4 linked regions of the Notamacropus eugenii genome follow. The protein of the gene in region 1 interacts with the protein of each later gene in a pairwise test. Links are inferred from orthologs where the notes say so. Each region holds a gene or a part of one and is shown in the gene's direction. Other genes may lie near its edges.

Region 1 (7,189 bases):
AGCAAAGGAAGAAAGCTGGTCCCCTGCATCAAGGAGGCTGGAGAGCCCGCCTCAGAGCTAGGGAGATCCGCACGGACACCTTCTCCTCTCCTTGCCCAGTGGGGGCTGATCTTGAGGAGTCTTCTGGCTCCCTCCCTCCTGCTGCAGTCTGCACCCACTTTCTCTGGCTGCCTCTGCCCTACAGGTCCTGGATAGGCAGCACCTGGAGCACTGGGAAGGACCATGATAGGCTCATATGGTCTTCCTTCTTTCTGCCCAACTACCCTGGCTCCAGCTTTAGGCCCCAGCTCATGTGGGTAGAGGACATACCTGCCTCCCGATACTGCCCAAACACCAAGTCTGTGTCATCCAGGGCGGCTGCACTGCCCACGTGAGTGCCCTCCTCCCCATAGTTGGTCATGTAAAAGGAGATCCGGCCCTGCATGGAGGAAGGGGAAAAGAATAAAAGGAGGGCCCAAATAGAACATTGTCAGAGAAAGTGGGGAACCTCCCCATCCTTCTACACACAGCTTTCATTTTTCCCTCTCTGGCTGCACCAGCCCACCAGTCACTGCTCCTTTAAGCTCTGACTCTGAGCCAGACACTGTGCTGGGCCCCAGAGATCCAGAGGGTCGGACATTTTCTCTGGAATCCCCCATAGCCCCAGCACTGAGCAGTCACCTTTCCATAATGGGGGCTACTGTCTTAGCCACCCATTGTCAGCCTCCAGAAGAGGACCTCAGGCAGCCCGGGGTTTCTTGTCCCACTTGGGTCTCAGACTGACTCCTGTCCTTTTTTCCCCTTTAAGACATTCTCTCCTCTTCCCCTACCCTCTAAGGCAGGCTCCCAGAAGTCAGCTTTCTGAGTACCTGCATCTTGAGGCTACAGGCTTCAGTCTGCCCTGCCAGGGTCTCTTCCCCAAGCTCCAAGGGCTCCCATGACTCTTTTGACCCCAGGAATGGCCTTGGGGGGAGTGTGTCTAACTGTGGTTCCCCTTCCCAGAGGGCTGGACCCCACTTACCTGCCTCTGGGACTCATAAAGGATTCGGTCCATGGTGTTGAGAAGGGTCATACTTTTGTACAGCTTCAGGACCACCTCCGGAGGCAGCTGAGGACAGAGCAAGCGGAAGGGTGTGGTTGGTGGCAGAGGGCTTGGGGGAAAGGCTTAGGGGGCCATGAGACCCCTGCAAGGTCATCACCTGAGGGTCCTCGCTGGCATTGATGATCTGTCCTTGGCGATCCATAACCCGGTAAACGGGGATGCCAGAAATGACATTGGGTTTTATGAAGTCTAGCTTATCCACAAACTCAGCAGAGGCTCCAGGGAACTGGGGTTTTTCATCCAGGGATGAGAAATCTTCCTGCTGCCAATGGGCGGCCTGAGAAGAAGGGAGGACAAATGTGTCAGAAGGGTGGGGCCCCCACAAGCACCTCCCTCAAATATCAGCAAAAACCTCTTGTGCTTCTGCAAGGAGTGAGCTCTGTCAGGCATGCTGCTGAAGGGGCCTCCTCTCCACTGACACACTGGCCCAGTCACCCTCTGAGGTCCCTCCCAGGCTGCAGCCCTGCTCACATCTTGCCTCCCAAAAGAGGCAATACCCACTGGAGTTTCCTGCCCAGTTAGTTAGGGAGCTGGCAGCCATCCCTGGCAATGCCCTTTTGTGCGCCCAGCAGAACTGGTCACACAGGTGTGGCTCTATGGGGAAGAAGCCTGCCCTCAGGAAGCTTATTTGGGAGTTTGGCCTCCAGCCACCCAGGACAAGTAGAGACAAGGCCTAGAGGCCTTCAGAACTGATAGATCAGTTTTCCACAAAAGGCAGATGGGTGCCAGGGCATGGGTGTGTCCTGGCGGGAATACTAGATTTAGAGAGAAGCAGGCTTTAATCCTGGTTCTGCCAATTAACAGCTAGTGACCCTCCCAATAACCCCAGAGGGGAGGGGCTATAATCCCCATTCAACAGGTGAGGAAACGAGGCAGGCAGAAGCAAAGTAACATGTCTGGGATCATGAAGCTTGTGTGTGAGGCTGAATTACCAGGCCCAGGGCACCAACCACCGTACCACCAGCTGCCTCACTTCTCCCCAGGGGACTGTGGTCAATCCTTACAACTTCCTTGGACCTCTGTTTCCTTATTTATAAAGTTAAACAGGTGGAGTCCCAGGAGGTTTTTAAGAGTTTAGGGATGCAGTGGGTAGAATGCTGAGCCCAGATTCAGGAAGCCCTGAGTTCAAATCCAGCCTGATCTGTTTGCTAGCTGTATAACTTTAAGTCACTTACGTTGTCTGCCTCAGTTTCCTCAACTGTAAAGAGGGGATAATTATATTACTTCCCTACCAGGGTTGGTACAGGGAAGACCAAATGGGATTTAGCATACAGCAGACGCTTCATGAATTCTTATTTCCTTCCTTCTTGCTCTAAACAACAACCCTGGGAGGAAGATCCTATTATCACCACCAGTGGCCCAGCCGGTCTTCTAGCCTGCCTTCCAGCCTGCCCTCCTCTGCCCTTCTCTTTCACACCCCCATGCCTCGATGCCCTTAGGCAGAAACATTCTTTTATTACATGTGTAACTGCAGTGCTCAGCACATGGGAAATGCTTGATAATTTCCCAAATGGAAGGTGGTGAGGGTAGGCCCAGTCTGGCCCAGACAGACACTCCCTCAGAGACACAACTCTGGTCAACTGGCTCCTGCCCAGCCTTGCCCCTGCCAGGCACTTTACAATGGTCTTCCCTAAAGCTGCCTCCCAATGCATAGCCAGGGACCTTCTTCAGGCCCTCAAACACAGCAAACTCGTCCCCACTGGTTGGTTTTGTTGTTGGGTTCTGGTATCAGCAACACTGGCACCAGCACATGGCCCACCTAGTCTGGTCTCTGCCTTCAGAGTACATTTCCATCCATCACCTCAGTATATCCTCAGGCCTTTCCAATGCCAGGGCAGAGCTTGCACTGGATTCAAAGGGACAAATGGCATCTCTGTGTATGGCTTTAAAGTTTGTAAAACTCCTGACACATATCGTCTGATCTCATCTTTACAACAATCTATTTTATAAATGAGGAAACTGAGGCTCAGAATGAAGTGACTTGTTCACAACCAACTGAAGGTCAAAGGCTTCATGTTTTTGTGGTAACAGAGGGTATTCAAAGGATGAGAAAGAAGGTGCCTGTGCCAAGAGAAAGAGTTACCAGAGACAACTGGCCAGGACAATGGAAGACTGCAGATTGTGGGTGGCCTGAGAGCAGCCAGAGGCTCTAGGTGCTGACTGAGACCCTGGGGCTGGATGGGCACAGACAGAATGTCACCACTCCATCAGCTCCCCTCATCCTGCCCTGACAGTTACCGCCACTGCCCACAGGGACACATTCTATTCGTGTGTGTGTGTGTGTGTGTGTGTGTGTGTGTGTGTGAGCATCATGGGAAGGTCTCTTAAAGAGGTCTCTTTCCTCCCCAGTCCCAGTGAGTATGACTAGCCTCCCTTACCTGGACATAGATACTTGAGTGTGCACACTCACACCTCCCTAGCCAACCTCTAGTTCACACACACACAATCACTGGGAATCGGGGTAGAGACTGAAGCACAGTAAGGGCCCATGCCTAGCCCAGCCCCCACCCCATGGAAGCTCCTGGTCCCCCCACTTCTCGGTGATGCCTGTCCCATGAGCTGAGGGGATGAGGAAACTCCAGTTAAGATTCCTATACTGCTTTTAGGCTTACAAAGGACTATCTCATGTTTTTAAAATTCACTTTATCGATCTGCGGATCTTAAAAATGCAAGAAGGAGTTGATCTCAAAGGTCTCAAAGATAAAGGGACCTAAGGAAAAAAGTCCATAAATGACTCAGTCTCACAGATGGACTATCTTTGTACTGAGACTACCTTGGGTCAGGGGCTGAATCTTGTGGCTTTGGTCCCCTGGAAGGACTGGGCCAACTTCAGGAGGCTGACCCAAACCCAACAGACACTGTCAGCCCCATTCTCCCACCCCCCTCTGACTTACCCAGCCTCTGATCACTATAGACACAGCCTAAAGACCCCAAAGAAGCCCCTCTCCCCAACTCTGCCAGGGGTTTACCAGCCCAGGAGGCTCAGAAAGACTATGACCCGGCCAGCAAGGGGAGGAGGTAGCAGTGGACTCAGTCCCCGCCCCCATGATGCTGGTCGGGGGCCACCAAGCCCTCCCTCCCTTTCCAGCCCAGAAAGAGCCCCGCCACCAAGGAACCAGAAAGACCAGAACAGGAACAGCGCCTGGGGACAGACGGTTGGGAAACGAGACCAGGTGACCTTCCCCCGCCCAGGGGGCCCGGCCTCCCTCCCGCCCCCTGGCCCGGCCAATGAGCAGCAGGCACCTGGTCCCTGCCCAGCTCCCGCACAAACAAGTGGAGGCATCCCCACTGAGCTGGGAGCAGACCTTCTCGCTGCCAGGCTGACCCTGCCCTGGTCCTCCGGCAGTCCTGGGGCCCTCTGCCCCAGTCCTGCTTCCCAGGAGGGCCAGGGCTCCCCGGGGCCAGCCCCCTGCCCCTCCCCCGCACCACAGAAAGTCCGCAGGAGCCCCTTCATTCTACACTGGGCCCAGAGACAAGAGGTGTCCCGCCGAAGGTCACCCAGGTGGGGGGCAGGACTGCAGGGAGTTGGGGAATCCTCCCCAGCCTTTCGGGTCTCCCTGCTCCCCCCTCTCCTGGGGGGGTCTCCCCATCCCTCTCTCAGGGGCTCCCGAGGGGAGGGGTCTCTTTCTCTTTCCTGGCGCTCCCCTCGGGGTCCGGGGGCGGGAGCACTCACGGATCCCGCCAATCCGCGAGGGCCCCGCCGGGCCAAGGCCAGCCCCCCTCGCAGGGCCCAGGCTCGTGCCGCCGCCGCCGCCATCTTGACTGAAGCCGTTAACCGTCTCGCTCCGCGACCGCCACCCAGGTTCTCTCCGGGGCCGGCAAGTCCATCGCCTAAAAAGCTGTCCACGCCCACGGCCCCACGTGAGCCGGCCCCGCCTCCAAGCCACCCGGGACGGCCCGCGAGGGAGGCAGCCCCGGTCCGCCACTCCCCCTTAGCTCTGTCCCTCGCCTCAGAGGCCTCGGAGGCGGCGGCGCCTTCAGGCGGAAGTGCGGCCAGCCCTCTGAGCCCGGGTCCTGGTGCGCGCCCCGCCCCTTCACCTCCCCGGGGCTGGGATACGACCGCGGGCCATTTTGATTCCGCCTCCTCTCTCCAGCGACCTAATAGTTCCCTCTGGCCTAGGTCGGGGGCGGGGCTGAGGGAAAACGTGGAATCCAGCCTTTACAAACAAACTTCGCGCAAGCGCGTCGCGATTATGGCTCACGCGCCCTCTTCCGCCAGTCCAGAGGAGGTGGGGAGGGAGGTTGAAATAAGCCGAAACCACGTGCTCAAACAAACAAACTGCTTGCGCATGCTCCCCAAGACCTTCAGGCATGCGCCCTGGCCATCCCGGAAGTAGTTTTGTACTGGCCGGCCTTCACGTGGATTGAGATGGAGACGGAGTTCGCCCCTAGCGCCGGACCCGAAGCGGATCCAAGTTCGCGGGGTTCCGGCTGCAGCCTCCGGCATTTCGCCTGCGAACAGAACCTGCTCTCCCGACCCGATGGCTCCGCCTCTTTCCTGCAGGGTAAGGTGCCATCCTTCCGAACCTTTGCTTCCGGGTAAATACCCGTTTCCGGCTAAATACTCGGGCCCACCGTGAGGGATGGGGGGGGGCCACCATTCCTCAGTAAATTATAAGCACTTTTCCTCCTTCTGGAGGCGAATGCACTTTCAGCACAAGAGAGGGGCAGGTACCCCATTTACTCCCCGCACGTGGGTCAGTAGGTGCCCGTATAAATAGCGATCTCCAACGGGCCGGGGCGGGATCAGGGCTGTTGGTAAAATGCGCCCTTTGGGGGCCTCCCGTTGTCCTCCTTGTCCGGGGCCTGCCCACTTCGGGGTGCACGGGACAAGCTCCCGGACCAGTGAGGCCCCGCCCCCCGCCCCGCGCAGCCTCGTGTTGTGGCCTCGGGCTTCGCTCGGAGAGGCCTGGCGGGGCGGGTCTCCAGCCTCCGTCCCCACCCCCGAGGCCTCCCCTGCTGGCTGGAGGTAAGGAAACCCGCAGGGAGTGGGGAGCCGCGGGCTTCAGTGGAAAAGGCCCGAGTTCTCATCCCGCCTCTGACACGGACTGGCCGGTGGAACGAACCCCTTCCGGTCTTAGTTTCTTTATCTGTCAGGTGGGGGTCATAATAACATTTATGTAACGGGGTTGTTGTCAGGAGCCAACGGGAAACTTGGGAAGTGCACGTCAGCCCTCCGTAGCTCTTATCTTGTCCTTCCCAACTCTCTTCTCGCCCCCATTTGGGTTTTTCCTGGAAGAGATACTGGGGTGGTTGGCCACTTCCTTCCCCATGTCCTCATTTTACAGATGAGGAAACTGAGGCAGCCTTGCCCAGGGTAAGTGTCTGAGGCCAGGTTGAACTCAGGAAGATGAGTCTTGACTTCAGGTGGTGTCACCGGAAGCCTTAGCTGTCATCAAGGGCGTCTCATATAGAGGGAGGTGGGGGTGCTCCCGGAGCCAATGCCTCTTCCTCCTCTGCACCCCTCTCTGCAGGTGACACCTCGGTCCTCGTTGGAGTCTATGGTCCGGCAGAGGTCAAAGTCAGTAAGGAGATCTTCAACAAAGCCACCCTGGAGGTGATTCTGAAGCCCAAAATAGGGCTGCCTGGTGAGCAGGGAAGGGGGTGGGACGCCTCCCCCATCGCCAGAAGCAGACTGAGGGAGCAGCTGATGTTACAGGGATGTTGTCCGGGGCTGCTTGTGTGGTAGCCTAGAGCCGGGGGCAGAGAAGAGATCACCTGCTGGTGATCAGGGGATGGTGAAAACAGACTGGAGCATGGATCCAGCATGGTGAGAAATAGGAAGAGTTCAGAAGCCTGGGAAGACTTCCAGGAACTGATGCAAAGACCAGGCAGGCAGAGCTGGGAACAGGATAGGCCGCAGTGAAACGGGAAGGAACCGAAAGGTGCTCTGTAATCCTCTTCTGTAAACACTGCCCAGCTGTGACTTCCTAGAGAAGAGGTGTGCCTTCCTCCTGTGTTTGTAAAGATGAAGGAAAGAAAGCTTTTATTTTGTAAAATTTCTATTTTTTCCATGTAAAGATAATTTTCAGCATTCACTTTTGTAAGATCTTGAGTTCCAAATTTTTTTCTCCCTCCCTTCCCTCCGCCTTTCCCCAAGATGGCGAG
Region 2 (7,545 bases), on another chromosome or scaffold:
AGAGACAGAGACAGAGACAGAGACAGAGACAGAGACACAGAGAGAGAGAGAGAGACAGAGAGAGGGAGAGAGAGAGAGAGGGAGAGAGCGCGATCTCACCTAAGGAGACTTTGATCATAGGGTTAATTTAGGTCATACATATCTGATATAGGCTACACATGCAATGATATAAAATCTATTTCCATATTAGTTATGTCGTGAAAGAAGAAACAGCTTGCAAGAAAATGCATTTTTTTTTTTGCAAAACTTTATTTTTTTTGTTGTGAACTTGTGGAACATTAACAAACATTCATTTCCATAAACAAAGAGCAGGAAACCTTGAATCTGTCACAGACGGTGACTTTTGCTTGAAAACTATAAAAACTATAGTTTTCAATATTTATATATTATTTATATATAACATTTAATAAATATATTTATAAACACATAATATAAATTAAAATATGAAAACTATAAAACTTTTGTTTTAAAACCAAAAAACAAATCTATGATAATTTGAATAGTGCCTTGCTTTTCTGTATCCTTCTGAACTTTCTGCTGCTCTCTTCTGTGAAATACTTTAGAAATATTTCATTGACTTTATTTTATTTCCTTGTAGTGCAAAAGATGCTAAGAAAGGAAAAACTGTCCCTGTCCTCAGGGGGCATCTGTTCTGAGGGGAGGGCATGTGTGCGTTGCCCATTTAGATTATGTGTTTCCACATCAGTCTGTCTAGTGTGACTTTCAGGGAGATGTGAATAGATATCTCTGGGGTCTTTTCCACCCACCCTTCCCTAAGGAAGACTTTGATTCCTGTCAGGAGGGGAATAGGAAATTGGGGCCACAAGGCTGACCACTCTCCTCTCCTTAGAGAAGGGTTACTAGGCTAGAGTTATAACTCTAAATACTAGGGGAAATAATGTTTAGGTTCAAGCTGTGCTCTGATCCCTATCCTTCAATAGGGGAAAAGCATCCAAGCTCTACATCTATACTTCAAGGCTTATCTCCCTTCCTCCCAAATGCCAGTTTCACAGAGAGCACACATAGCAGATAGAAAATAAACTCATCTATTAAAGCCAATATTAGGCAGAACTTATAGATGTTATGCAGAGGAGAGTACGCTAGATAATACACAGAATGAAAGAGTTGTCCCATGGGGAGAGAGGTTCAAAGATATGAGGGGGGGAGAGAGAGAGAGAGACAGACAGAGACAGAGACAGAGACAGAGAGACAGAGAGAAACAGAGACAGAGACAGAGAGACAGAGAGAGAGTGCATAATCTCACCTAAGGGGAAATTTCCCAAAGTCTCTGGTGTGGTAAGCTAGGGATAGGGACACAATGAAGGTACAAGCTTTTCTACATGTTGAGCTGAAGAGACTCAGGAGTAACATATTTTCTTTCTGAAGCTGGAAAAAAGACCTCTCAAGGTCTGGTCCACTCTGACCCTCAGCTTAAACACAGTACACTGAATAATCAATCTTGGACGCCCAAATGAAGAATCCCCAATTTTACTTGTTTTGTTGAAGAGGATGACTTCAAAAGAGGTTAAAGAACTTGCCCATGGTCACTCAACTAGTAAGGAGCAAGGGCAGGATTTGATTTCAGGTCTTCTGGTAGCACAACTCTGGAGCTCTCACCTCTACACCAGGTTTAACTGGTGACCATCACAAACGAAGTAACTCCTCCTAGAGTTCTCCAAAATATCTGTGAATGGTCCCACTAGGGAGGACTTAGAGGGCATCTAGTCTGGGCTTCTCATTTTCCAGACAAGGAGACTAAAGCCCAGAAAGAGAAAAGACCCATCTAAGGCACCCAAGATAGAATTAAGCCCAGGTCCTCTGGTTTCCACTCCACTATTGGTTCCTACAGGAGTAGACTGACATTTCAAAGCCTGTCGCGTTGGGTATTCAGAATGTCAGAGACTGGGTGAGCTGGGTTCATTAGAACTAGATCCTGCTGCTGGGAAAGCTGGTTGTGAAACACTTTATTGTTGTTTCTCACTCATTTTTCAGTCACGTCTGACTCGGTGTGACCCCATTTGGGGTTTTCTTGGCAAAGACGCTGGAGTGATTTGCCATTCCTTCTCTAGCTCATTTTACAGATGAGGAAACTGAGGCAAACAGCATGAAGTGACTTGCTCAGAGTCCCATTCAGACCCTGAAATTTTGGAGTCTTTTAATTAGTTGTTCATTAATACTCTCCAAGTGCAATGAAAATTCACACCGCCATATGACACATTTTCCTGAAACCCATGGAGTCAACATGGGAGAAATTTGTAGCGAGGGAAGGCAAATCCTTTCTTCTCTCACCATCCAATTCCTTCTTCCTTACATTTTGGAAAAATGACTTACTAAAATGGTGGTTAGAGAGGTGGCACTGGAAGCAGGAAGATGTGTTCAGATGTTGGGTTCAAATTCTGACTGACACAAAGGGGCTGTGAGACCCTAGGCAAGTCATTTAATGCTCAGGGATTCGCGCATCTTCCTAACACTTCAGTTGCAGAGAAAATGCTGACCTGCATGAGTAGAGGGAGTTTTCTTACCTGGGAGTTCCCTGTATCCATATTATCTCAGGTTTGGCTCCTCTCCCTTAATATTTAACCTAAACAATGCATGCAATAACTTAAATTTGTTTTGCAACTTAAATAAGTGAAATTCAGCCTGTAAAACATCATGACTTGTCCGTCTTTCCCTCCCCCTAGATCTTTATCAGGGTTCTTTCTCCATTCATACTAATTCACTTTCCCTCTTAGATGACTGAAATTAACGCGGACTTCATTCTTCTGTTTCTCTGTCTATTTCCTTGTATCCTCATACATGTAATTGACTTACAGTTTCCCATTACACCAAGGTACCGCCATGTATTCACTCATTCCCTCACTGTCACATGTCTGGGTTGCTTCCAGGTGGAGTTTTCTGGTTTTGTGGCCACACAGTCCTGCCATGGAAATCTTGGGACTCTTATTTTTATTTTTCAAAAAGAAACAATTGGGTCAAAGGGGATGATTACTTTTGTAACCTTTCCTATAAACTGCCAGGTTTTATTCTGAAAAGGTTCTGAGTTTGCAATACCGCCAGCAACAAAAGAGTATGCCTGTTTCTTCGCAGCCCCACCAGCACCGACTTTCAGGTTTTGAGAAATTTGCCAATCAATCTGTCAACAAGCATATTCAAGAGGCTACTTTGTGGAGAGTGCTACAAGCTGGAGCTACAAAGGTAAAAATGAAACTACCCACACTTCAGTTTTCATCTGTGAAAGAAGGGTGGAATCCAATTTCCAAGTCACCTTCTGATTTTACCCTTCTATGAGAAGAATTAAAATCCAGTTCAAGAAATACTTATTCAGCAGGTGGGAAGACTTGCTCAGTGTAAGGGGTAGAAGAATGGGATAAGATAAAGGACCCAAGGACTTGTAATGCAAGGCAGAAGGTGAGAAGTACAAGGAAAAAGTGTAGATAAAGAGTCAGAAATCCAGAGGCCAGAGGGCTGTTATCACGTGGGAAGGACCAAGGGAGATGTGCTAAAGGGGCTGGCCTAGACTCTGGGCCCCCTCCTGGCTCAGGGATGCTGCGAGGCCGGGTCTGCCCTTGAAGGTGCCCATCCTCTCTGTCCCCTCGGCTAGGCAGCCAGGGGTGACCTAGAGCCTCCCCCTCAACACCCCTGCCCGGTCAGGGCCCGACCTGGGGCTGCCTCTCGCCGGACGCCCTCCCCGGCCCCCCCCTCCTGGAGCACTACCCCGAGCGTCACTCACTGCCCCCCTCCCCCTCCCTGTCAGCGCCAGTAACAGCAGGGGTCCTCGTCACCCCTCCCCCGCCCCTCCCCCTGCTCCGAGGCCGGGCCTCAGCCTGGGGATTCCCGCCGGGACCAGGCCGGGCTGAGGGATTTCGACCTCGAATTCCTTTAATGTTCGGGGATAACGCTCGAGGATGGACGGACGCTTGAGAGGCCTGGGCGCTCGGCGGGCTTGACGGACGGACGGACGGACGGAGGGACAGACGGAGGGACGGACGGACAGAGTCAAATAAAGAAGAGGAAATAAACCTAAATCTAAACATTATAATAAAAATTAAGAAAGGATAACCAGTCCTGAGCTGCCCCGTTCCTCTCTTTGCAAATCTTAGTTTTGTATCTCCTTTACCGACTCCGTCTCTGCCACGTATTTTTATAAATGTATGTTTTCATGCATATTATTTATACATACATGCGTATGACTGTGCGTACAGGTACATGCACACACGCATGTGTACTGCCTGCACACCGTAGGCGCCTACTCAGTGCTCGTGGCGTAACGATGGCGGAAAGGCTTCTCTGGGTCCAAGATGGACGCCCCAGGGCTGCTCTGGGCAGGGCCTGGGGGCCGTCTGGTGCCACGCCTCTGTCCCACACAGCAGGGAGGGGCAAGCCTAGCGAGGGCCGGGGCGGTTCGAGGCCTGCACCCGCGCTCCTCTGCACCGGGCCCAGCCGCCGTGCCCCCTGGGGTGCGCGCCTCACGGGCCCTTCCAGAGCTCCCAGGCGGAAGAGGTTTCCTAACTTGGGCCGAGGGTGGGGGAGGGGGATGCGCGGCCCAGACTGGCAGAGGGAGGAGGGCTCCACCCCTCCCCTCCCCTCCCCCACCCGGACGTCCCCCATGCCGCAGCCAGCTCCCGCAGCCTGGAGGTGAGCGCGATGCACTCCTCCGGCCCGGACGCGGCGGAGGCGGAGCGCGCCGGGCCTCAGTTTCCCCCGCTGACCGAGCAGGAGGCCGGAGCCTGCGCGTGCCCGGGCTGCCCGGCCCCGAGGAGCACGCAGGCGGCGCGGGGCTCCCCTGCGCGGGCTCCCGGGGTGCAGGGGCCGCTGCACCCGAAGAAGGGGCTGCTGTGCAAGTGGTCTGCGGAGGCGCCGCCTTGCTACAAGTGTAGCCACTCGGGGCACGCGGGGCCCCCGCCCCAGTCCCAGGAGCCTCCGACGGCACCGCCTCCTTCCACGCCGCCGCCGCCGCCGTCTGCGCCCGCCAGCCCGGGCGACGGGGCCATGAAGACGGAGCCCCCCAAGGAGGCGGCCGACAAGATGCTGCGCACCCCGAAGTGCTCGCGCTGCCGCAACCACGGCTTCCTGGTGCCCGTCAAGGGCCACGTGGGCAAGTGCCGCTGGAAGCAGTGCAGCTGCGAGAAGTGCTACCTGATCACGGAGCGCCAGAAGATCATGGCGGCGCAGAAGGTGCTCAAGAGGCAGCTGCACGACGGCGACGAGCCCGACGAGCCGCCCGCCGAGCCGCTCGGGGGCCCGGGGCCCGCGCCCTGCGCCCGTCCGCTGCCCATGCCGCTGCCCATGCCCGGGCCCGGGCCCGGGGACGCCGGCCCCGACGGCCGCGCAGGCCCCTACGGGAGCGCCCGGCCGGGGCCCTCGGGGCTCTTCGAGCGGGGCCCCGGGGGCAACGGCGGGGGCGGCCCCGGGGTCGAGGTGGCCGCGGGGGGCAGCGCCCGGGGCTTCGACGGCTGCTTCAAGCCCGGGCCCCGGCGGGCGCTGCCGCTGCCCATGCCCATGCCCCTGCCGGCCCCGCCGCCGCCCCCCCCGCCGCCGCCGCCGCCGCTCAGCGCCTCCACCTCGGCCTCTGCCAGCCCTCCCTACGGCGACTTCGGTAAGGACCCCCGACGGGAGCGCGGGACCCTGGGGACGGAGGGCAGGGGAGGCCGGGGCTGGAGCGAGGCCTAGTGACCGCGAGGGACGCCCCGTGCGGGCCGCTTCTGCGCCTTAGGGAGGGGGCCGGCGGTGACTCGGGAGCGGCCCGGGCCCCCCTCGCTCCATCCCCCCAGAAAACGCTCCTTTCCCCGCCTTGCGGCCGGCCGCTTCAAACTCTGGGCCTCAGTTTCCCCATTTCTAAAAAGAGGATTGGGTTAGAAAGATGGCTGTCTGCCGTCTGCCCTCCCCTCCCCCGAACCGGACGGCAGGGACCGAGGCGTCCCCTGGGGAGCAGTGCGGGGCCGGGGGGGGGGCGCCCGACCGAGCCTGCCCTTGATGAAGCTGGGGGAACCGAGGTGGGGGGGGCGGAAAAGCGGCTTTGTGGACCCAAGCGTGGGGGGGCGGCAGGTTTATTTAGTGCGAGTGTCTCGGTGCAGTTCCGGGCTTTGGAAACGTGGTATTGGGGGGGGAGGTTCCGGACCGTAGCGGCCCCCCCTGGTTTTACAGGCTGGGAAACAGGCCTGAGGTCACTCTGTAGTAGGTAGGCTGCTTCCCCTCCCTCCCTTCTCCCTCTCCTCTCCCCTCCCCCTCCTTTTGTCCTCCTCTCCCCCTCCCCCTCCTCTTCTCCTCCTGCTCTCCCCCTCCTCTCCCCCTCCCCCTCCTTTTGTCCTCCTCTCCCCCTCCCCCTCCTTTTGTCCTCCTGCTCTCCCCCTCCCCCTCCTCTCCCCCCCCCTCCCTTTGTCCTCCTCTCCCCCTCCCCCGCCTCTTCTCCTCCTGCTCTCCCCTCCCCCTCCTTTTCTCCTCCTCGCCCCTTCCTTTTCTCCTCCTGCTCTCCCCTCCCCCTCCTTTTCTCCTCCTCGCCCCTTCCTTTTCTCCTCCTGCTCTCCCCTCCCCCTCCTTTTCTCCTCCTGCTCTCCCCTCCCCTTCCTTTTCTCCTCCTGCTCTCCCCCTCCCCCTCCTCTTCCCCTCCCCCTCCTTTTGTCCTCCTTTCCCCCTCCCCCTCCTCTTCTCCTCCTGCTCTCCCCTCCCCCTCCTCTTCTCTCCCCTCTCCCTCCTTTTCTCCTCCTGCTCTCCCCTCCCCCTCCTTTTCTCCTCCTGCTCTCCCCCTCCCCCTCCTCTCTCCCCTCCCCCTCCCTCCCGGGCTCTGTCTACTACGCTCAACTTGATACAATTCCCACGCAGTAGTGGGGGAGGGGGGCTTTTCTTCAGTGCCTTAAGTCGTACCAGACCTTTGATACGCACGAAGCCCTTTCCACTACGACCTCGTGCTCTAGGTAACACGGGTATCCATTCGCCAGGCTAAATACCATCCAGAGTGTCTGTGATGCCATCAGTTTATTAAGTTCATACATGGGAATTTCAACCCCTAATGTTCTGGAAAAGCTAGGACTTGGAACCAGAAGGCCTGGGTTCAAATCCCATCCCAGCTACCCTGGGCCAGGCTTTGATGGGACTCTTGTTTCCTTGACTGTAAAATGGGGGCTGATGTGATGGGTGCTTTGGCCTCAAAGATCTAGTGGGAGGAAAATGCTTTGTAAACGAACTTTGGGCTCTGTGTCAAGTGAATTTCCCCTAGGAACACTGTCCTTGGATAGTTAGTACCCGTGTCTTAGAGCTTCACTACATTTGTAGGTAACTAGGGTTTTTTGTCTTTCCCCTTGTTCTTGTCTTTATCCAGGGCACCCTTCCAACATTGCCCCAGAGTGCGTGATGGGACCTGAATATCTGGAGAGAGAGCAGTCTAAAGTGTATCCTGGTTATGCCAACATGTACCACTACCGCCCATTCCCACTGGGCAGCTACCGGGGTTCTGCTTCTGCCCCAGGGATACCCCTCCAGAGGGGCTTCCGCCATGTCTCCAGCAACCACGGAGCAGGGACCTCTTCTTCTTTGCTGGTGAGTAGAGGA
Region 3 (7,206 bases), on another chromosome or scaffold:
CATCTCTTGAGTTTCTTCCCCCCACCCCAACTTCACCATCTTCCATTCTCCTTCCTTGTCCTCTCTCCCTCACCCGTTACCAAACTCACATGCCCCCACTTTCCCCTCTGGCCTCAAGATCACAGGATTTGGATCTGGGGGGGGACATTGAAATGGTGCAGTGCAGCCTCCTTGTTTTGGAGAAGAGAAGACAGGAGTTCAGTCACTTAACCTCCACAGAAGTTGTGACTTACCCAAGGTCACAGAGAGCCGTGGCAGAACTGGTATTTGATCACAGGCTTCTAGATTTCCAGCTGGGAGGCACCTTAATGTCATCTAAACCAACCCCCTCCCTTTCTGGAAGAGGAAACAGGCTGAGAGAGGCAGTGATGATGACTATTACCATTATTGATAAGATACTACTACTAATAGCCACGCCTATGTAAAGCTTTCCTCCCCAAGGTTTGCCAAATACTGTACTGACTTTATGTTTCTGCCTCCCAGCAGCCCCAGGTGAGGAGGGGTGATGTCATTCTCATTTATGAGGAGCTGAGGTCCTGTTACCCACGGCCATCTAGGCAATGGGCAGCATTTGAATGCAGGTCATCTGATCCAAGGCCAGGCAGCTGCCCACCAGACTCCCCGTCCTCCCTCAAGAGTACGGTGGTTTCTTTGGGTGAAGGACCAGCTGTGTGCTGAGCTGGATTCTAGCAGTGTGCCCTGGGCCCACTCTGGGGAGCTTCCTTCCAGGGAGCTCAGGGCCCCAAAGTACTGTTAGGTTATGTGGAGGGATGGAGGGAGCGGGAACTCATGGGGCAGAAACAACCCCACCAGATGCCAGGTTGGTGATGGAGGAGAATTGGAGGTGTTGCTATGACAACCTGAAAAAAACTGGGCCTGCTGCCACAATCTGTGTCCTCAAAGCAGAGTGGGTCTTTCTCCCCATTTTACAGGTGGGGAAACTGAGGCATAGAGAGAGGAAAGAGACTTAGCCAAAGTCATGAGACAGGAGAGGGGCCAGGCCAGGACTTAAGACCTGAGTTTCTTGGCTTCATCTTGGTGTAGTGGAAAAATAGGGAATCAGGAAACTCACATTCCAGGTTTGGCTGTGTTTCCAGTTGCTCTGTGATCTTTGGCAAGTCCCTACCCATCTTTGGGCTTCAGTTTCCCCATGTCTAAAAAGAACTATCCCAATTGCCTCACTCCCCATTGACTCTAATTCTGCCTTTTGGGACCCCACCAACCATGCCTGCTCCCTAGATCCTTTGGTATGAAGAAGGTATTGATCATGGCCCCTGATCACTTTGTTCCTCTCCCTCGCCCCCTGTATTTTTGTGCCTCTGTCACTTTGTTTCAGTAGCTCTGGGACCCTAGGTGGGCCTCTTCCTGGTCCTGGGGGAAGCAGGGGAAGAGGATGTTCTGGACTGCTCAGGAATCCTGACAGCTGCCTGGTCACCATCCTATCTGGGGCTCCCAGCTAAAAATAAACTAGCCTGGGTTGGGTCCAGGAGTCTGGGAGGTGGGGCAGGACGTGGAGAAGGTACTGGGGTTTGAAGTTTGTCTGTTCTGATGCCCTCGGCAATCCTGGGAGCGAACCTTCAGGCAGTGGCCTAGAGGAGAGGAAGGAGAGGTTTAGAGTTGGAAGAGAATTGGATTCAAATCCTGAGTCTGCCATTTGGGTAAATCTCTTCAGCTTTCTGGGCCTCAGTTTCCTTGTCTATAAATTGAAAGAAACCATAAGCTCATAGAAAAATGGAATCCATAGAATCCTGGAGTTGGAAAGTCTGCCCTGGCTGGACTACATCTGCACTAGAGTATTCTAGATCTCATATTTTAGAGCAGGCATTGATAAATTGGAAAGAATCCAGAGGAGGGTAACCAGAGTGTCGACTGGAGGGTGTGGGGAGTTTTCGTTTGGAAAAGATGTAGGGAGGAAGGTGTTTGCAAGGCTGCCAAGATGGGCAAGAGGGCATCAACTTACCCTGTTTCACACCAGGGCCAAACCAGGAGCTATGGGTGGGCAGCCGCAGATGAGGCAAAGGGAGGCTAGCCTTCAGCAAAAGTCACATGAGTACTTCTCAAGAAAATTGGGGCAAGTGATGTGGTTCATGGTATGGACTTGAAAAGATGCTGCATGAGTTCCCCTGCCAGGCTTTTAGATCCCAGAATGCCAAAACTGGGAGGGAACTTAGAACACAAGGGTGTCAGAGCTGAGAAAAAAATGAAGTATTTCCCAATATTTGCACCTTGACACTATTCCAGGGCAAGTCTATATCTAGTCATATTTTCTCAATCAACAGTTGCTAGTAGTTCAATTATACTTTGATATTTTAAAAATATTAGTGTTTATATAGCATAACTTTATTAATTTGTGGAAATATTAATTGATTGATTGTGCCCCAGATAAGGGAGAATCTAAGGGGCACAAGATCCAGGTGCCCACCCTTGCTTTCCGCCATGCTTGTTCATGGTAGATTCTAGGTGTGGCTGTAAGTAGCATAAAACCGTAGTCTTGATGTTTCCAATTTATGAGTAAAGGAATGGGGCCCCCAGGGGGTCCCTTGGAGAGGGTTGGGGAGAGCAGGCATGCCCAGTTTTGTGGATACTTGCCAGGAAAGACCATGATGGCAGCAGGTGGAGAATAATGCTTCAAGACATGGAGAGTAGTGAGGCAAGTGATAAAGTGTAGTTGTGGAGGGAGGTAGACTGGTGGGAAAGAGCCCTGGGGAGGGAGAGGGGCCCTTGTGTAACCTTGGATTGGAGTTGTGGGGACTCGGGCGGGATGGACCTGTAGTAGGTGGAAGGAGTGCTAGGGGGCTGGAGATTGGGGTCCCATTTTCTAGGGTTGGGGAAGGGGTGGACTAACTCATATCCGTGCAATTTTGGTGTAGTTTATTAACACCCACATTGTCTCAAAGTAATCAGCAACACCTTCAGCTTAATTCGTTAGCTGAGCGTTTTGCTTGTTTTGACCCCAGCTTATCTGAAGCTTCCAGACCAGGGGCAGTTAGCTGGACCCAGGGGCCATTGCATTCAGGCCTAGCTGGCTTCCCCTACGTTTCACATTCTCAGAAAGTAGCCTTAGTCAATTTATGAGGCAGTTCCCAGCGGCTCCCATGCACTCCTAATTTATGAGACCATTGGTTCCCCCATTTGCAATCTATTGCTAGCTACTTAAAAACTTACTATAGTAACTAGATGGGTGGCTGGGGGTACCAGAACAAGATACATTTTCAACACAACTGCTTCATGACGTTATCATCCTCACAACCTGGAGATGCATGTGCCATTTCCATTTTACAACGATGAAGAAGCTTAGGCAGACAGGCTAGTGATTTGCCCAGGGTCACACAGCTAATAAGGATCTTTGGCTGGATTTGAACTGGGAATCTCGACTCCCAGTCAAGCATTGTGCTACCTAGATGGCTTTCTTTGAAGTAAAAAGGTGATCTCACCCGTACAAGGTTGGGGGTCACTCTCACTGCCTTTGTATATAGGAGGGCCCTCAAGACAAAACCTGACATGGCCGAGACCAGACTTTTTGAAAATGGGGAAGCTGAGGTCCAGAGGAGGTAAGGGATGGCACAGTCGAAGGCAGAGGCTCTGGTCCAGGGTTTTTCTGCTGTCTTCCCTGCGGATGGATGATGGTGCCCAGAGTTTCCGAGGCATCCTAGCCCCCTCCCACCCCAAGTTCCCTGTTCTCAGCATCCTTGAGGAGGTCATCCAGCCTCCATTTTTACACCTCCAGGGAGGGGCTGCTCACTGCCGTAGGAGGCAGACCTCCCATTGTGGAAGAGCTGCTTGTGGGGAAATGGCCCTGAAAAAGTGTCTTGGGGAGATGGAGAATACCCCTGGACCTCTGCTTCGGGATCCGGAGCGGGAGGGATGGTTATTCGCTTTCCCAGCCGCAGCCGTAATTCTCACAATCTCAAATTTTGGGGAAGGGGCTGGCCCTTGGGCATCATTTTTTTGAAAGAGCGATCTCTTTAAGGTATGCAAATCGTTTCCAGTGTCTCCAAGGGAGACAGACCGCCTTCTTGAGCTCAGCCAATCGGAAGATGAAGCTACGAGAGCCGACGCTCAAAACGTACCAATCGCGGGGGAGTGTCGGGCAGCTCCGCCCCCTCCCGAGCTGGGTCCTCGGCTCCGCGCGAAGGGGTGGAGGGGGAGGCTGCGTGGGCTCCGCCCGCCTGTGGGCGGGGCCAGAGAGGGGCGGGGCTCCGATGCCCGGCGCGCTCGGGTGTCAGTGTCGGCGTCGGCGGGCCCCGAGCCGCAGGTGGCTGCGCCGGCTGGAGGAGGACGCTGCGAGGGCCTCAGGGAGGTGAGTGGCCGCTGACTCCGCGGGTCTGGAGGGCGCCCGGGTGCCTTCTCTCGCTGCGACCTCCTCTCCTGCACGGCTCGCGCCCCGCCGGTCCCGGTGTCCCGGCTCCGCACCCCGCCCCCCGTACCCCGCTCCTGCAGCGGCGCCCCCTCCCCAGCCGTGACCTGCCATCCCCGGCCCCGCCGTTGTGCCCGCCGGCCCGACCCTGCCAGCAGGAGCGTCGCCCCTTCTCTCCATCCCCCTCCTGAAGCCCCTTCTCTCCATCCCCCCAACAATAGCTTCTCGTCCCTGCCCGGGAGCGGCCATCGCCGCCCTTCTCCCTGAGGAGGGCCGACCCCACCCTCCGGTACCTATCCCCCTCGCGCCCACCCAGATCCCCGCCCGGGAGGCTGCCAGACCGATGGGCAAAGGGGCCGTCAGCCGTCTGCCCTCCTGCTCAAGGAGACAGCGGGGCCTGCGCGAGCCCCCAGGGCGGCGTGTTAGGGAGCGGAACCTGGGCAGTGCGGAGGCCCGGCTTTGGCCCGGGGGTGCGAGGGTCAGCCCCCCCAGGCCTGAGACTGGGCTGCTACTGCCCTTGAGGCTGGGGGCATCCCTGCTGGGGCCGAGGGATTGGCAGGCTGGCGCGGGGTCCGTGTCCGCTGTGTGTCAGCTTCAGCGGAGCATCTGATCCAGGGATTAAAATAAAAATCAGATCTTATTCTGTTCACCGACTTGGCAGCTGTACCCAGCAGCTCTGGGGGAGAGGAGGAGGACGAGGAGGAGGAGGAGGAGGAAGATGCCATGGGTGTGTGTGTGTGTGTGTGTGTGTGTGTGTGTGTGTGTGTGTGCGCGCGCGCGTGCACGCTCTCGTGCAGCAGATCCTCCCAAGAACCTGCCTTTCTCCCAGGGCAGACCTGGTAGTGAGCATCTGGCTTGAGCCCAAGCTTGGGGGGTGATCGGGGTGAGAGAATAGCTTGGCTGATTAGGGTTTAGGATTTGTGGCGTGCTCTACACCACCCCCATTTAGCATCTATCCCCTTGGGATAGACAGAAGTTGGGTTTGTTACCTCTGTCTTCTGAGAATCACCCAGTCTTACTCGGAGGGCATCTGGGGCCTCAGCCCTGACAGGTTCAACAGCCATAGTGTTTCTTCTCCATGGCCACCTCCACCTCCAAGCTCAGGGCCAAGAGCTCCGGAGACATGGGTTCTAGTCTCAAGTCCCCTTCTGATGTGTTTATTTCCCCTCTCTGAGCCTTAATTCCATGTCTGTAAAATAGGGCTCATAGTCCTTGCACTAATAATATATTACTGTGAGGTCAATACTTATAAAAGTCATTATGTTAAAGACTACTAGACGAAATCTAGCACAGATATATACTAAGAGCTGTGTGACCTTGGACAAATGCTTCCCCTCCCTGGGCATGGGCTTGTTATTCTATCGTATCTGCCTCTCCGTGACCCCATTTTGGAGTTTTCTTGGTAAAGATACTTGAGCAATTTAGCCATTTCCTTCTTTAGTTCATTTTACAGATGAAGAAACTGAGGCAAATGGGGTTAAGTGACTTGTCCAGGGTCTAGTAAGTGTCTGAGGCCAGATTTGAATTCAGGAAGATGGGCCTGAGCCTGACCATCTCTAGCAAATGGAGGTGATTGTCTCACTCACAGTCAGTGTGGCTTTGGAGAAGTCATTTCTTTGGGTCTCTTTCCTTTTTTAAAATGGAGGTGTTGGGCAAATGATCTGTGAGTCCTAAGTCTCATAAGACTATGATATACACGCACACATACATACAAACATATACATACATATATTTCAGCTACCGACACTTTAAAGTTGTTTTGAGAATAGTATTTTATAAACCTTAAAATACAAGAAAAATGTGAGCTGTCAGTCTCTGTAAAATGAGGGCTAGAACCCTCCTAGCTCTGACATCCTGTATTCTAAAGTCTCTTCTTTGTTCCAAGGTCCTTCTCAGCTCTTATATTCCATATTCTAAGGCCTCTCTCAGCTTTGACATTCCATATTCTAAGGCCCTCTCAGCTCTGATATTCCATATTCTAAAGACCTCTCTCAGCTCTGACATTCCAAATTCTAAGGCCCTCCCACCTCTGACATTTTGTCTCCACTCTGATATTCCATGTTCTAACATCCCAGTCCAGTTGTGACATTTTAAGGACCCTTACATTCTCTGACTGGCAGATGAGGCAAGAGAGATTCCAGCCCTCACCTAACCCCACCTGGGTTGTGGGAGGGGGAACTTGCTGGCCGACATCCTCACCCCCATAGGGTGTTTCCTGACCCACATACCAGGTCTATGCCTTGAGGAGGCTATGCACCCAAGCCTGGGAGCAGGTTTGGCCTCTGGGTGTGGTTGGCATGCACCTCCCCCCTCTAAAGTATGGCTGTTTTCCCGATCCGGCAAAGCTGGATAGCTCCTGCCTCCCTCCCACCTGACCTCGAGCATCATTATCCCTGGGAATGGTGCGGCCAGACAAATCCCAGACTACCTGGCTCTGGGTCATTGTTTAGGGCAGTGGAAGAAGCTTGTGCCGTTTCTGGTTCGGTTCTGGGGACCTCAACCTTGCAAACATGGAATCTTGCAAACATAATCGGAGTGGCTAGCGAGGGAAATACTGGGCAGTTGTGACTTTTCCAGAATCTTGGAGGTCTGTTCTGACCCATCTCTTCCTGGGACTGCCTCAGGAAGAGGCATATTCTCTTCTAGGGGAAGGGAAGTACAATTATTCACCACCCATTGGAACCCCAAACAGTTTATTACTTGAAGTTTCCCCCTTTTTTTTGATAATACTCCCTTGCAGTGAACTCCTTCTGTAGAGCCCTGATCCGAATTCAGGACAAGTGCGGAAGGGACAATCACCAGTCTTGGGAGGCTGAGGCTTGTGCCCTTGGGGTTCCCCTGCCCTTAGG
Region 4 (6,193 bases), on another chromosome or scaffold:
CTCCTCACAGCCTCCTTCATTACTGCAGGCCTCCCACATCAACACCTCCCCCCTCCCACAACCTGTTCCTCAAACCCCCTCCCCTTTGCCATATTATCCCTTTCTACCTACCCTCAATGAATCTTCTGGCCTCAAGCCCCCTCCCCTTCTTTTTATATTCTAGTCCCCTCCCCTATATCTTGCTTTCATTACTACAGGCCTTGAATCTCAATCTCCCTCCCCATTTAAAAAATCTAGCCCCCCCCTACAATCTACCCTCTAATCCTTCTGTGCCCCCCAATCTATTATCTAGCCCTTCCACAAGCTACCCTCTATCCTCATATGCCCCTCCCTCTATATTATCTAGCCCCCCCACAATCTACCCTCTATCCTCATGTGCCCCCCATCTATTATCTAGCCCCCCCACAACCTACCTTCTATTCTCCTGTGCCCCCCGACAACCTACCCTCTCTCCTCATGTGCCCCTCCCTCCATTTTTATTATCTAGCCCCCCACAACCTACCCTCTTTCCTTATGTGCCCCTCCCTGTGTATTATCTAGTCCCCCCACAACCTATCCTCCATCCTCATGTGCCCCTCCCTATATATTATCTAGCCCCCCCACAACCTACACTCTCTCCTCATGTGCCCCTCCCTCCATTTTTATCTAGCCCCCCACAACCTACCCTCTCTCCTCATGTGCCCCTCCCTCCATTTTTATTATCTAGCCCCCCACAACCTACCCTCTTTCCTTATGTGCCCCTCCCTGTGTATTATCTAGTCCCCCCACAACCTATCCTCCATCCTCATGTGCCCCTCCCTATATATTATCTAGCCCCCCCACAACCTACACTCTCTCCTCATGTGCCCCTCCCTCCATTTTTATTATCTGGCCCCCCACAACCTACCCTCTTTCCTTATGTGCCCCTCCCTATGTATTATCTAACCCCCCCACAACCTACCCTCTCTCCTCATGTGCCCTTCCCTGTATATTATCTAGCCCCCCACAACCTACCCTCTCTCCTCATGTGCCCCTCCCTATATATTATCTAGCCCCCCCACAACCTACCCTCTTTCCTTATGTGCCCTTCCCTGTGTATTATCTAGTCCCCCCACAACCTATCCTCTATTTTCATGTGCACCTCCCTATATATTATCTAGCCCCCCCCACAACCTACCCTCTCTCCTCATGTGCCCCTCCCTATGTATTATCTAACCCCCCCACAACCTACCCTCTCTCCTCATGTGCCCCTCCCTGTATATTATCTAGCCCCCCACAACCTACCCTCTCTCCTCATGTGCCCCTCCCTATATATTATCTAGCCCCCCTACAACCTACCCTCTCTCCTCATGTGCCCCTCCCTATGTATTATCTAACCCCCCCACAACCTACCCTCTCTCCTCATGTGCCCCTCCCTATATATTATCTAGCCCCCCACAACCTACCCTCTCTCCTCATGTGCCCCTCCCTATATATTATCTAGCCCCCCCACAACCTACCCTCTCTCCTCATGTGCCCCTCCCTATGTATTATCTAACCCCCCCACAACCTACCCTCTCTCCTCATGTGCCCCTCACTGTATATTATCTAGCCCCCCACAACCTACCCTTTCTCCTCATGTGCCCCTCCCTATATATTATCTAGCCCCCCCACAACCTACCCTCTCTCCTCATGTGCCCCTCCCTGTATATTATCTAGCCCCCACAACCTACCCTCTCTCCTCATGTGACCCTCCCTGTGTATTATCTAGCCCCCCCACAACCTACCCTCTTTCCTCATGTGCCCCTCCCTATGTATTATCTAGCCCCCCCACAACCTACCCTCTCTCCTCATGTGCCCCTCCCTATATATTATCTACCCCCCCACAACCTACCCTCTCTCCTCATGTGCCCCTCCCTATATATTATCTAGCCCCCCCCACCCTACCCTCTCTCCTCATGTGCCCCTCCCTCCATTTTTATTATCTAGCCCCTCCCACCCTACCCTCTCTCCTCATGTGCCCCTCCCTCCATTTTTATTATCTAGCCCCCCACAACCTACCTTCTTTCCTCATGTGCCCCTCCCTATATATTGTCTAGCCCCCCCCACATGCACACTCTATCCTCATATGCCCCTCCGTATTTATTGTCTGCCCCCCCCACAACCCACCCTAATTACTTCAATCCTCTGATCTCAGACCCCTCCCCATGTCTTCTGACTCCTACCCTCATTGCTACAGTCTCCTAGCTGCCAACCCTCCCCATCTCTTTATAATGCAGCCCTCCCTCATTACTAGTCATCCAATATCACACCCCCTCCCCATTTTTAAATTTTGAGCCCTACCCCCCAACCTACTCTTCTTACGATACATGTCTAGCATCACCTCCCCGAGCGCCCCCACCCCTCCCACCACCTTCCCTCATTACTATGGTCCTGTAGAAGCCAATCCCCTCCCCAGCACATTAAAGTTTAGGCTTAACCCCTCCCAGTCTATTTGATATCTAGGCCCCTGATGCTCCTCCTGTTCCTAAAGTCTTATAACCTTAGCCCCCCCCCCCTCCCCCTTATCTGCCCCCACAACCTACCCCCATCACTACAGGCTTCTTTGTTGAATCTCCTTCCCATCCCTTTGTAACAGAGCCCCCACCTCCCACCAGCTACCTGCATTGCCACATTCCTCCAATCTCAGAGCCCACTGCAGCTCTTCAGGCTCCACTCCTGGGAATATGCCCCCATTGCTGGGGCCTTCCAGCCACAAACAGCCCCTACTGCTTCCCTAGGGTAGGGTTTGCAAACCCTACCCCCATCTCTTAACATCTTAGCAAACCCCCCCACATCCTCCCCTCATTACCACAAGCCCCCTCCCCATTTGGGGGTCTTTTAGCCCCTCACAGCCTCCTTCATTACTGCAGGCCTCCCACATCAACACCTCCCCCCTCCTACAACCTGTCCCTAATACTGTTGCCCTCTTGCCTCAAACCCCCTCCCCATTTCTTTTTATCTCTCCCTTCCTTATACCCCCCTCAATGAGTCTGCTGATCTCAAGCCCCCTCCCCTTCTCTTTATAATGCAGACCCCCTGTTTTTTATTTTTGTATTGATTTGATTTGATTTGATTGATTTTATTATTACAGGCTTCTGATCTCAAACTCTACTCATTTTTTTAATCTAGCCCACCCCCCAAACCTACCCTCATTTAAATAGTTTTTTATCCTCAAACACTCTCCTCATTTTTAAGATTTTAGCTCCCCCAAGTAGCATCACCTCCCCCTTCTCTCAATATTTTGCCACTCCCAGGCCCCCCCCCATTACTGTAATCCTGCAGACTCAAAGTCCACCCCTTTCTGTTTGGAGTCTAGCCCCCTCTCAATGCCACTCCCCTCCCCATCCCTTTATAATCCAGCCCTCCAATATCCTCCCCTCATCACTAAACTCTTCTAATCTCAGGACCCCCTCCTCACAACCTACAGGTGTCCTATATGAATACCACCTCCTCTCCCCCTCCCACAACCTAACCTCAACCCCCCCTTCCCTTTTCCTTTTCCAATGATCCCATCAGCCTACCTACAATGCTCTAGGCTTCTGCCTTCAAGCCCCCTTCCCATCTTTATGACCCAGTCTCAGTCTTCTCCCAATGGAGCCCCCTCACAACACTGCCCTCCAGTAGCCTCCCAGCCCCTCCCCACCTCCTTCGAGTCTTCTCCCTCTAGAGTCATTTGATCAGAGTCTCTGAATACTTTCTGTCTTTTGCTTCTGTGATCTGATGCTGGCATGTGCCACAGACTTGCTCCTCTCCATGTCTCCTCCATGCCTCTAGCTCAGCTGACATTCTCTGTCTTCCTTATTCACAGGCACCAGTGACTTTGGACTTCCTTCAGCAGACAGTAGAACCTACAAGTGCTGAGTGCGAGGGAGCAGCCGGATCTGGGAGTCACGTCAAACCAGACCCCCCACCCTGGGGTGGGGGGGAGGGCTCCCGGAGGAGGAGGTCAGCACCTCTGCAGAAGGACAACAGCCTGTGCCCAGACCAACCACACTCTGCCAGCTAGATAATGTGATTCAACCGTTCAGAGGTACTGGTTCAGATCACTTCCTATCTGAACTGGCCAGGTATGGCATGGAGCCCTCAGGGGCTGCCAGGGGACTTTCACTGGAGCCTCAGCTGACCAACTGACTCTTGGCCTCGTCGCCCTTTCTTCTCATTGGTGGTGGACTCTAAAACAGTAGGACTCTTCCTTGGTCTGTTGGGTCTCTCTTTGGGGCTCTCTGGCCAAGCTCCACTGTCCCTTGCCTACTGTCTCTACCCATTCTGGTCTAGCCAGAGTGATTGAGCCCCACCCCCGGGGCATCTTTGACCGTGCTTACACTGATTCCCAGGATCTTTGAATATGCCAACCAGCACTGGTTCCGGTGCTTCGGCCCGCCGCTGCAGGATGGAGGACCTCACAGCTGAGGTCCAGGCCCTGCGGGCCCAGCTCCTCCAGCAGACCGAGGAGAACAGCTCCCTGCAGACCCAGCTCCTCCAGCTGTCAGAGGAGAATGCCAACCTCCGGGGACAGCTCCAGGCCACCCCGGTAGGGGCCATGGGCCTCTCTGCCCCTCGTGGTAAGTGCCCCGTCGGCCTCCCTGAGAAGTTCGATGGGACCCCCGAGATGCTTCCCAGCTTTTTGGCCCAGAGCCGCCTGTACATGGAGCTGAGGCCTGAAGACTTTCCCACAGAGCACGTCCGCGTGTGCTTCCTCACCAGCTTGCTCAAGGGGCGCGCGGCCCGCTGGGCCACCCCCTACCTACTGGAGTCCAGTCCTCTGCTGAACAACTATGAGGCCTTCATCGATGAGTTCAAGCAGGCCTTCGAGGACCCCCAGCGCAAAGAGGCCGCCAACCGCAAGATCCGGCGTCTCCGCCAAGGCCTCGGCTCCGTCCTAGACTACGCCAGTGCTTTCCGCCTCTGTGCCCAGGACCTGGACTGGAATGAGCCGGCCTTCATCGACCAGTTCCTGGAGGGCCTCAGTGATCCCATCCAAGATGAGCTCGCTCGCGTGGAGGTGGCCCGATCGCTTCCCGCACTCATCAACCAGTGTCTGCGCATTGAGGGAAGGCTGAATTCCCGGAGAGGGGCATCTCCTGCCAGCTCTCCTCAGCCCCAGAGCGCCTCGTCCCCTCCAGTCGAGTCGGAATCAAACCAGCTGGTCACTCGGCCTCAGTTGACCCCAGAAGAGAGGGAACGTCGCCGAAGACTGAACCTGTGCATGTACTGCGGACTGGCCGGCCATTACGTGGACAACTGTCCATCCAAGAAGCCAAAGTCTTCTGGGGTGGGAAACTCCCTGGCCCCGCTGTAGAGGGACCCCCAGCGCCCGGGCCTGAACCAGAAAGGTCCCCCCCAGATGACGCGTCATCTTCTCACTTGCAACTACTGATCACGTTACATCTCCCGGACGGCTCCTACTGTACCGTCCGCGCCATGATTGACTCCGGTGCCTCCGGCAATTTTATTGACCAAGATTACGTTGCACAGACTGGAATCCCAGTAAAGATTAAGTATTGGCCGGTGCTGGTGGAAGCAATTGACGGACGGCCCTTGGCCTCTGGCCCAGTGACCCAGGAAACCCAGGAGCTGGTGGTAGACATTGGGGAACACCGTGAGAGACTCTCCTTCGATGTGACCCAGTCCCCCTTCTTCCCTGTGGTTCTGGGGGTGCGGTGGCTCACCCAGCACAACCCCTCCATCATGTGGAGTTCCCGCACCATCGTTTTTGACTCAGAGTATTGCCAGCACAACTGTCGGGCTGCTCTGCTGATGGCACCGAGCCTGGTCCCTGGAGGAATGGACGTTCAGGAAGTTCTTGTGCCGATGGCCCAGGAAGCCATCCCATACCACGCACCGTACAGTTACACTGTAGCCCCCACCGGCTACCCCTACGCAGTGTCGGACCCAGAACTGATGGCTGTCCGAGACTTCCTGGCCAAGAATGTGAAATGGGTTTGTGTCCAGCCGGCCTCCCCATTGGGGGCCCCAGTTGTCATCATGAAGAAAGTGGGAGAGCTATATCTTTGCAATGATTCTCAAAACCCAAATGCCATTGCCGTCTGGAACCAGTATCCACCACCTTCAACTCCTTACGTATTGTACCAGCTCCAAGCAGCCCCCATCTACAGGACCAGGTCCCCAGCAGGGTACACCACCTGGTCAATGTTGGGAAGGGAAATGAATGGAAAACTGTGCTTGATCCCCT

What was found.
Region 2: the proteins of EXOSC5 (region 1) and DMRTB1 interact in a two-hybrid assay, tested with the Homo sapiens proteins (2 studies listed by BioGRID). The link is inferred for Notamacropus eugenii from reciprocal best matches to the Homo sapiens genes EXOSC5 and DMRTB1.
Region 3: the proteins of EXOSC5 (region 1) and FCHO1 interact in binary tests that used the Homo sapiens proteins (3 or more experiments, as listed by UniProt). The two-hybrid records come from large-scale screens. The link is inferred for Notamacropus eugenii from reciprocal best matches to the Homo sapiens genes EXOSC5 and FCHO1.
Region 4: the proteins of EXOSC5 (region 1) and PEG10 interact in binary tests that used the Homo sapiens proteins (3 or more experiments, as listed by UniProt). The link is inferred for Notamacropus eugenii from reciprocal best matches to the Homo sapiens genes EXOSC5 and PEG10.

The regions. Positions count from the first base shown.
Region 1 is NC_092876.1:29,841,102-29,848,290, forward strand, and holds the start of EXOSC5 (exosome complex component RRP46), read left to right. Parts: upstream 1-4,168; 5' UTR 4,169-4,254; intron 4,255-4,754; coding exon of another isoform or gene 4,755-4,963; intron 4,964-4,965; coding exon of another isoform or gene 4,966-5,175; intron 5,176-5,177; coding exon of another isoform or gene 5,178-5,394; 5' UTR 5,395-5,450; coding exon 5,451-5,586; intron 5,587-6,555; coding exon 6,556-6,669; intron 6,670-7,189. UniProt on the Homo sapiens protein: Non-catalytic component of the RNA exosome complex which has 3'->5' exoribonuclease activity and participates in a multitude of cellular RNA processing and degradation events.
Region 2 is NC_092873.1:513,649,238-513,656,782, forward strand, and holds the start of DMRTB1 (doublesex- and mab-3-related transcription factor B1), read left to right. Parts: upstream 1-4,535; 5' UTR 4,536-4,644; coding exon 4,645-5,596; intron 5,597-7,315; coding exon 7,316-7,533; intron 7,534-7,545.
Region 3 is NC_092875.1:68,369,352-68,376,557, reverse strand, and holds the start of FCHO1 (F-BAR domain only protein 1), read left to right. Parts: upstream 1-4,193; 5' UTR 4,194-4,300; intron 4,301-7,206. UniProt on the Homo sapiens protein: Functions in an early step of clathrin-mediated endocytosis. Has both a membrane binding/bending activity and the ability to recruit proteins essential to the formation of functional clathrin-coated pits.
Region 4 is NC_092874.1:504,150-510,342, forward strand, and holds PEG10 (retrotransposon-derived protein PEG10), read left to right. Parts: upstream 1-3,918; 5' UTR 3,919-4,345; coding exon 4,346-5,299; 3' UTR 5,300-5,669; downstream 5,670-6,193.